Mus musculus: one gene and its partner. The protein of the gene in region 1 purifies or fractionates together with the protein of each later gene. This does not show direct contact. Links are inferred from orthologs where the notes say so. Each region holds a gene or a part of one and is shown on either strand. Other genes may lie near its edges.

Region 1 (4,306 bases):
AGCCAGGCATGGTGGCACATACCTTTAATCCCAGCACTCGGGAGGCAGAGGCAGGTGGATTTCTGAGTTCGAGGCCAGCCTGGTCTACAAAGTGAGTTCCAGGACAGCCATGGCTATACAGAGAAACCCTGTCTCAAAAAACCAAAAAAACAAAAAACAAAACAAACAAACAAACAAACAAACCAGGGGGGGTGGGAATCCTTTTTAATGGTGATGGAGACTGAACCCAGAACCTGAACGGTTGTAGACAATTGTTCTGCCAGCCAGCTCTAACTTCAGCCCTTATTCACTGTTGTTTTGAGTCTCACTGTATAGCCCAGGCTCGTTTGTCCCCCCCCCCCCCTCACCCCCCGACTTGGGATTACATTTGTGTTATCACCAAGACTGCTTTCTTGTTCTTGCTTTCTAGTTTAAGACAAGCTCTCAGGCGTCCCTTCCCTTTCTGCTCTGAAACTGGATCTTATGTAGCTCAGGCTGGCCCGAAGTCCCTACGTCCCAAAGACATCTGATTCTTCCTGTCTCCACCTCCTGAGTGCTGGGACCCAGAGCTTTGTGCAACCAACTGTGCTACATCCCTTGCACCCGTACAGACCTTTTTACTCAAGCTTTTTCCAGCCGGGGAATGTCCGTTTCAGGGTACAAAATTGGCTTGTGCCTCATTCTTCCTATGGCGCCGCTGGGAGTCTTCTACCCTGAGCTATTTCTGGTCCACTTGCTTGCACAAGCTCTAGTATGAGGCGCGCCGCCAGAGTTATTTATTCGTCTGTTTCGGGACGGTGGGCCGGTTCCCTCTCTGCACTCAGACATTTGCTAAACTCCAGGGAGAAAGTGCAAATACTCAGGCTGGGCAATGGTGTCGGAAAGGTAAAGAAGGACTGCAGAGCCCAGCGTTGCATTTGTTGGGTATCTCGGGGGGGGGAGACCGCGGTGCATTGGCGGCCTCAGCAGACGCCTCCACAAGGAGGAGAGTGGAAGCAGATGGCCAGGCTAAATTGTAAATCTTAACATCTACTTCAGTCAGTCTTTCGACCACTATCAAATGTGAAATAAATAAATAAATAAATAAATAAATAAATAAATAAATAAATAAAACGCAAAACTCTGCCAAGTTACACCATTCCGCAGCTAACAGCCTGAGGAAGCCCCCGCTGCCGCCCCGCCCACCGCCCGGCCCCTCCCACCGCCCGGGCCGGCCCCGCCCCTAGCCTTGCGGGCGTCTGTGGGTCTGCAGCCGCAGGGTCATGGGTGGGGACAGCTCAGGCCCTTTCAATTCCGGAACCGGCGCACGCCTCAGGACCTGAGTCACCAACTGTCACCAGGGGCCGGAAGTCACCACCAACTCTCACGGCTGGGAAAAGGTTTCCTGTGAGCCTGCGGGTGCTCGCGGACTACGACTCCCAGCATGCTCTGCGGCAGCCGCACTTAACCCTTCAGGGACAGGAGCTGCCCTGAGTCCCGCCCCCCACCTGCCCCTTCCTCGGACCCGGCAAGGTGAGTTTTGAGGGGCTGGGAGGGTCTTTTTCCTCTCTAGGGCTTAGGAGTGAGTGAAAGTGAGGGAAACGGGCGTTTTGTTTAGGAAGGATTCTTTATTTTCCAAAAATGGGACAATTTGCAGTAAAAAGATTCTGACGCCCTTTTGCAAATGGGAGACCCACTGCTACTCTGCGAACTCCAGGGCCTAAGTGGAATGACCAGTCTCTCAGAATGCCATGTAATTCTTCTTTATCCAAGAACAGAGTAGCCAGAACCTCCTAGCTCCCAAACATCATCTTTTCCCTTCATCAGCGCTTCCAGCAAGGTTTGTGACTCAAAGCTCAGCTAAGGTTTTTGATGTGATCCTGACCAATGGTGTGTCCGTGTGGATACCTATGAACTCCTTTGGAGGTCCTGTAACCTTTTGGGTTATTAGGGGGCTCTTTGTCTCCCAGGGCCCCCTCCATGTGTGTGTGTGTGTGTGTGTTCCCTCCATGCTCACTAGGCATTATAGCCTTTTGTTTGATTTGAATAACATTGTCTTGTTGAAAAATGTTCCTTCTTTGGAATTATGTGTGACAGATGTTAAGCCTTGCCTACACTGGAACCCCTAAACCAACATTAGGTATAGAAGTCAGTGGGTAATAACACGCTCGAGTTACTGTGCATAGTTTAAGGTTGGGGGTAGGTGGGGGCCCAGGGATTACAAGTTCTAAGGATACGGGAAAAGACAGAAGGGAGTGCAAAGGCCTCCTCTCACCTTTTACTGTTTCCAGAACAGATTTTAAAACTTCCCACCTGATACCAGCCCCCCACCCCTCTACCCCGACTCCACCCCAAGCCCTTGCTTTGCTTGGGCTTTCCCACGGTCTAAAACTAATGCAAGTTTTTGTTTGTTTTTCTACTTTAGTTTTCTTCTTTCTCCCCTTAGCTCCTATCTCAGAATCACTGGCAAACATCCTATCTTCACCCTGGAGGTTAACAATCCCTATTCTGACAGGTCTCGTGTTTCTTCTCTGTACCCTTAAAGAAAACATTCTATTCAGCTGTAGGAGAGTGGTATCAGAGGGAAGAAAACTTTGGGGGCAGGAGTCCTGAACCATAGGAGGCCAGGGGAGTGAGGGCAGACAGGCATAAGTCTCTTCCCCCTCACCCTTGCCAACTGGCTCCCTGTCCCTGCTGCTGCCCCCGCCCCTTGACATCCCAGACTCCCTGCCTATTTAAACAGAGATGGGTGCCCCCATCAGCACATTGTTCTTTGGCCACCTGACATCATGCCTCCCAAGAAGGATGCTCCCGTGAAGAAACCAGCAGGGCCCTCCATCTCTAAGCCTGCTGCCAAGTCTACACCAGGGACCCCTCTAGCCAAGGCCAAGGCTGAGCCGGCTGCCCCCCAGGCACCTGCAAAATCCCAGGAGCCCCCTGTTGATCTCTCCAAAGTGGTGGTGAGTCCTGGGGAAGTGTGAATCTGGAAGGGATAGTTCAGAGATGCGGTGCAGCCTTGGGTATCCGGGAATATGTGGAAAGGATAGGGAATGAATGAACGCTGGAATGAGGTTGGGGCTCCCAGGTCAGGCCAGTTTCCGAAGTGAAGGGAGAGGGGTGCTGTCTGCCTCTGGCTCTTCTGTTCAACTCAGAAGGCTACATCTCTGAACCCCAGGAGGGGAGACTGAAGAGGGCAGGCTTGTTAGACAATCACAGCTGGGGGCAGGGGTAAATTTAGCCTTTGTTCAGCCCCCAGTTATGTGAGGGATGCAGGACTCGGGGTAGCAGGAGGGAAGGGAACAGGTGGCATGGGATTAACCCTGTTCCCAAGAAACCCTCCCCCTGTAATTCCTCTTGGGATTCTCCCAAGGCCCAGAGCTGGGGACAGGACTGAAGTGGCCCGGCTCCCCGCCTTCATCCCTTTGGGTCCCTCCCCAGAAGTGGCTGCCAGTTGGTTGTGATAGAGAGGGACTGAATAAGCCCTGTCATCTCCTCACCTGCCCTTTTTGTCCCCTACAGATCGAGTTTAACAAGGACCAGCTGGAGGGTGAGGAGAAGCCCATTTCCTAAGCCCCATTGTCAAACCCCAAACTCCTGGTCAGATTCTCTGTTCTAACGACAGTCCTGACCTTGAAACCTCCCACACTTGTCCTGTTCTCCTCCCTCCCATGCCTGGCTCTAGCACATGAATTTCTGAAGCAAACCTCCCTCTCTCTGTTGGTGATGGGGATCCTTGGTCACACTGCCTTCTCCTTACATCTCAGAATTCAGAGAGGCCTTTGAGCTGTTTGACCGAGTAGGTGATGGCAAGATCCTGTACAGCCAGTGTGGGGACCTGATGAGGGCCCTGGGCCAGAACCCTACCAACGCCGAGGTGCTCAAGGTCCTGGGGAACCCCAAAAACGAGGGTGAGAGGAGCCTTGAGTTTTGTGGGGGTTTCTGTTTTCTTCTTGGTGTTGAACGTTGAATACAGGGTTCTGCCTGGGCCATTGAGCTACATTTCTAGCCAGCAACTTTCTCTTCTTCCTCTTTTTCTTCTCTCTCTCTCTCTCTTTCTTTCAAGATAGGATTTCAGTATCCCAGCCAAGAATGACCTTACATTCTGATTCTCCTATCTCCACCTCTTGCTACTGCCCACTAGAGTGGTGGGATTACTCCAGTTTATGTAGTGCTGGGTTGAATCCAGGGCCTCAGGCAAGCCAGGCAAGCCCTTATTACAGAGGTACTGTTTTTTTTTACTTTTTGAGACAGGTGCTCACCAAATTACTCAGGTTGGCCAGGGACCTACAGTTCTATCCCAGCAGCCCCAATCCCCAGTTTTCTTTTTCTTTTTAAATTTTAATTATTA
Region 2 (3,808 bases), on another chromosome or scaffold:
GCAGAAGGCGGCAGGGAGCAGGGCTCAGCACACAGAACTGTTTGAACTGAACCTTCCAGATGTCCCTCAAGTCAGTTAGGGTCTGTGGGAGGAAATTTAAGAGATTTTATTTATATATATATTTTTATTTTTAGTAATATTCTGAAAACTATTCCAAGTGGTTCAGAGCTTTTCAGACAGTACCCTAACTCCTGCCTCGGGAGAATATTAGTAATGTCTGTCCCCTTAATGTGTTTACTTTTGTACATTTCTTCTTTTCTGTCTTAGCTGTTCAGGAAGTTTATTCCATCCCTGTGCCCCTCGTTGACATGTTAGGATCTTTCTCAGCTTGTGAGTGTGAGAGCCCTGTGGCTGCTTAACTGCCTGTGCTCTGGGAGGGACAGGCTTGTGGGCAGGGCATGTGGTTCACAGCATTCCACCTAGAGGCGGCACCGGCAGGCAGTAACAGTTCATGTTGCAGAGCAGCCATGGTTACTTAGTAGTCATCAGAGTGGAAGATGTTCTAGAAGAAACTTTGTGTTAGCCGTTTCTGAGTCTGGTACTCAGTGCGTAGTACTTCTTGACCAGGTACCTTAGCAGAAAGGGAGCCTGTTGAATCTGCCTTTCTGAGAATACAGAGGTTTGGTTTGGTTTTTAAGATGAAACTACGTGCGGAGTGTTAAATGTCACATAAACTTTATTATGCTTGTGGATGTGGTATAGCTGTTCCCTGGTCTTTTCTAGAATGCTGTGGTGGGATAGTGGGAGCCAGGACTGTGCGCGCTGACTAAGCAGCCTTTTCTCTTCTTTCAGAGCTGTTGGTAAAACCTGCCTGCTCATCAGTTACACGACCAATGCATTTCCTGGAGAGTACATCCCCACCGTGTGAGTATCCTCCTCGCCTGCGACCAACTTGCCGTGGGAGCGTTAGTGTTTATTTCCCTCTGAATCAGCGACTGAGAGAGAATTGTTAGTGGTTTGGAACTTCAAATTAAAAAATGAGCCAATTAATGTATGATTTCCTCATAGGAGGGAAAAGTCAGTTTCCTGATTGATTCTTAGGAAACAAAAGAAAATGATACCATGAAGTGTATAGGCTGGGGAGTGTAAAGCCCAGAGCTTGAGCACAGCAGTCTGCTGACTTGGCTCTGGGAACTGGTGCACAGTGTTGCATTAGAGGTAGCTGACCCTCTGCCAAGTTATCAGGTGGTTCCATGTCACACTGAGAGCTGTAGAGTTGGGCTAGGGTATGGATTCAGGGCTGCTGATTGTGTATGGGCAGCCCCACTGGGTGGGAAGAACAAGTGCTTTTCTCACTGATGGCTTGCTGGAGCCTCATTGTGCTACACACATTGTGCTGTCCTCTGTCTGCAGCCAGTGCACCCTTGGAGGCTCGCCTTGGGGAGACCAATGGGCTTCACCATAGAGCCGAGGCTGACTTTGCACTCTTACCTTGCCTTCCAATACACATCACTCCACCATCCTTATAAAGGTTGCTTTGCTCAGTACAGTCTGTAAGTCACACTAGCTTAAACTTGACTTTTACACTAAGAGCCCCTGTTTTTAAGTACTACAAATAATAAGACAAAAACCAGTGAAACAAAAAGCCCCTTTCTGGGGCTGGAGAGATGGCTCAGCGGGTAAGAGCACTGACTGCTCTTCCAAAGGTCCTGAGTTCAAATCCCAGCAACCACATGGTGGTTCACAGCCATCTGTAATGAGATCTGATGCCCTCCTGTGGCGCATCTGAAGACAGCTACAGTGTACTTACATATAATAAATAAATAAATCTTTTAAAAAAAAAGCTCCTTTTGCCTTAAAATCCATGTTTTAAGATGCTAGTCTTGGGCTGGAGAAATGACTCAGTGGCTGAGAACACTGGTTGTTCTTTCAGAGAACCTGGGTTTGGTTCCCAGCACCCATGTGGAAGCTCCACTTTCAAGGGATGTGTTGCCCTCTGTCTTAGTCAGGGTTTCTATTCCTCATAAACATCATGACCAAGAAACAAGTTGGGGAGGAAAGGGTTTATTCAGCTTACACTTCCACATTGCTGTTCATCACCAAAGGAAGTCAGGACTGGAACTCAAACAGGTCAGGGAGCAGGAGCTGATGCAGAGGCCATGGAGGGATGTTACTTACTGGCTTGCTTCCTCTGGCTTGCTCAGCTTGCTTTCTTATAGAACCCAAGACCACCAGCCCAGGGATGGTACCACCCACAATGGGCCTTTCCCCCTTGATCACTAATTGAGAAGATGCCTTATAGCTCGAGCTCATGGAGGCACTTCCCCAACTGAAGCTCCTTTCTCTGTGATAACTCCAGCTGTGTCAAGTTGACACAAAACCAGCCAATACGCTTCTTTTGATTTCCATATGCACCAGATATACATGTGCTATGCATACATACACGCCAACAAAAAAAAAATGACGATATTGTCTTGTTTTAAATTGCAGTGGATTTTTTATTTTTGAGAGATGGTATTGTGTAGCTTAGGCTAGCCTTCAATTCCTGACCTGCTCCATGCTCTTGGTTTTGGTTTGTTTTTTGAAGAGTAGTAATAGCGTAGACTTTTTTGTTGTTCTGAGGTCTGTTTTGTTGCCTGAGAGCAAAGTCTTGCTCTGTAACCTAAAGTGAACTTGGACTCTTATGATCCTCCTGCCTCAGGCTCTTAATGCTGGGATTACAACCCTTTAATGACTTTCCTCTTGCTGATTAGTTGGTAGTCTTTTCTGAGTTGCCTCTTACTAATAACTAATTTGTGTGTAGCAATTCTAGGCTAACGGATGCATTTCTGTGGTCAGGTGCCCTCACTCTGAGAGCCTGGGTGGCTTCTGAAGTTCCAGTGTGCTGCTATTCTGCAGCCCTGGGCCTCAGATCCAGGTGGCTCTGCTGTGTGCGCCAACTGAGCACACCAGCTGAGAGTGAGCAGAATGTGTCAGAGGAACTAGCCAGGTGGGATTGGGAAGAGGGACTCCTCCCAGTTGTCTTTTTCATGCAGAGAAAACACTGTTGATTAAAGGTGGGGTTTGTCTCCTTGTAAGTTAGTAGCCTGACCTTTGTTTCTCCCTGCCTGGTGTGAGTAAGGCTGATGCCCTGTGTCCTCCGGCCTCCAGGGACTTCCCGTACCTCAGCGGTGTTTTCTGGACCAGCAGCAGCCTCTAGGTCCATCCTCTTCCCTCACAGCAGACCTCCTTTGGGAACCTGGGGACTATGACTTAGTCCCTGTTCTGTGGCTAATGTTTCCTTGTCCTCCTGCAGCTTTGACAACTATTCTGCCAATGTTATGGTAGATGGAAAACCAGTGAATCTGGGCCTATGGGACACAGCTGGACAAGAAGATTATGACAGATTGCGTCCCCTCTCCTACCCGCAGACAGTAAGACTCACACTTATTTTTACCATGTATAATTGTTCGGTGTCCAGTGCTCACAGATCTGCTTTTGCTGCTGGGACTGGGGTCTGTGATAACAGTCAGTAAAGTGACCTCCTTTCATGCCAGCCAGAATTTGGAATTTTGAATATTACCACGTTTTCAGCCCTTTTTATTTTATATTCTTTTATTTATTTTCAAGACAACCACACAGAACAGATGCTGTCTTACTTTTGGTTTTGCAAAGCTAGTTAGTCTTAACAGCGATTACTTTGAAAAGCGACTTGTTCTGGGATGGTTTTGCACTGTAAAATCAAATTAAGCAGTTAGATTGGGCATGGTGGCTCAGACCTGTCGTCCAGCACACGGGGAGCAGAGGCTACAAGGTTGGGGCCAGCTTGGTCTGTAGTTTTCTCAAACCTTGGCTCAAAAAATCCAAATTCAGCAGTTAAAATATTAAG

Evidence for each region.
Region 2: the proteins of Myl6b (region 1) and Rac1 purify together in Homo sapiens (affinity purification with mass spectrometry; 3 studies listed by BioGRID and IntAct, with this or other methods). This does not show direct contact. The link is inferred for Mus musculus from reciprocal best matches to the Homo sapiens genes MYL6B and RAC1.

The regions. Positions count from the first base shown.
Region 1 is NC_000076.6:128,495,813-128,500,118, reverse strand, and holds the start of Myl6b (myosin light chain 6B), read left to right. Parts: upstream 1-1,433; 5' UTR 1,434-1,491; intron 1,492-2,701; 5' UTR 2,702-2,747; coding exon 2,748-2,918; intron 2,919-3,477; coding exon 3,478-3,505; intron 3,506-3,722; coding exon 3,723-3,866; intron 3,867-4,306. UniProt on the Homo sapiens protein: Regulatory light chain of myosin. Does not bind calcium.
Region 2 is NC_000071.6:143,514,214-143,518,021, reverse strand, and holds part of Rac1 (ras-related C3 botulinum toxin substrate 1), read left to right. Parts: intron 1-792; coding exon 793-864; intron 865-3,235; coding exon 3,236-3,353; intron 3,354-3,808. UniProt on the Homo sapiens protein: Plasma membrane-associated small GTPase which cycles between active GTP-bound and inactive GDP-bound states.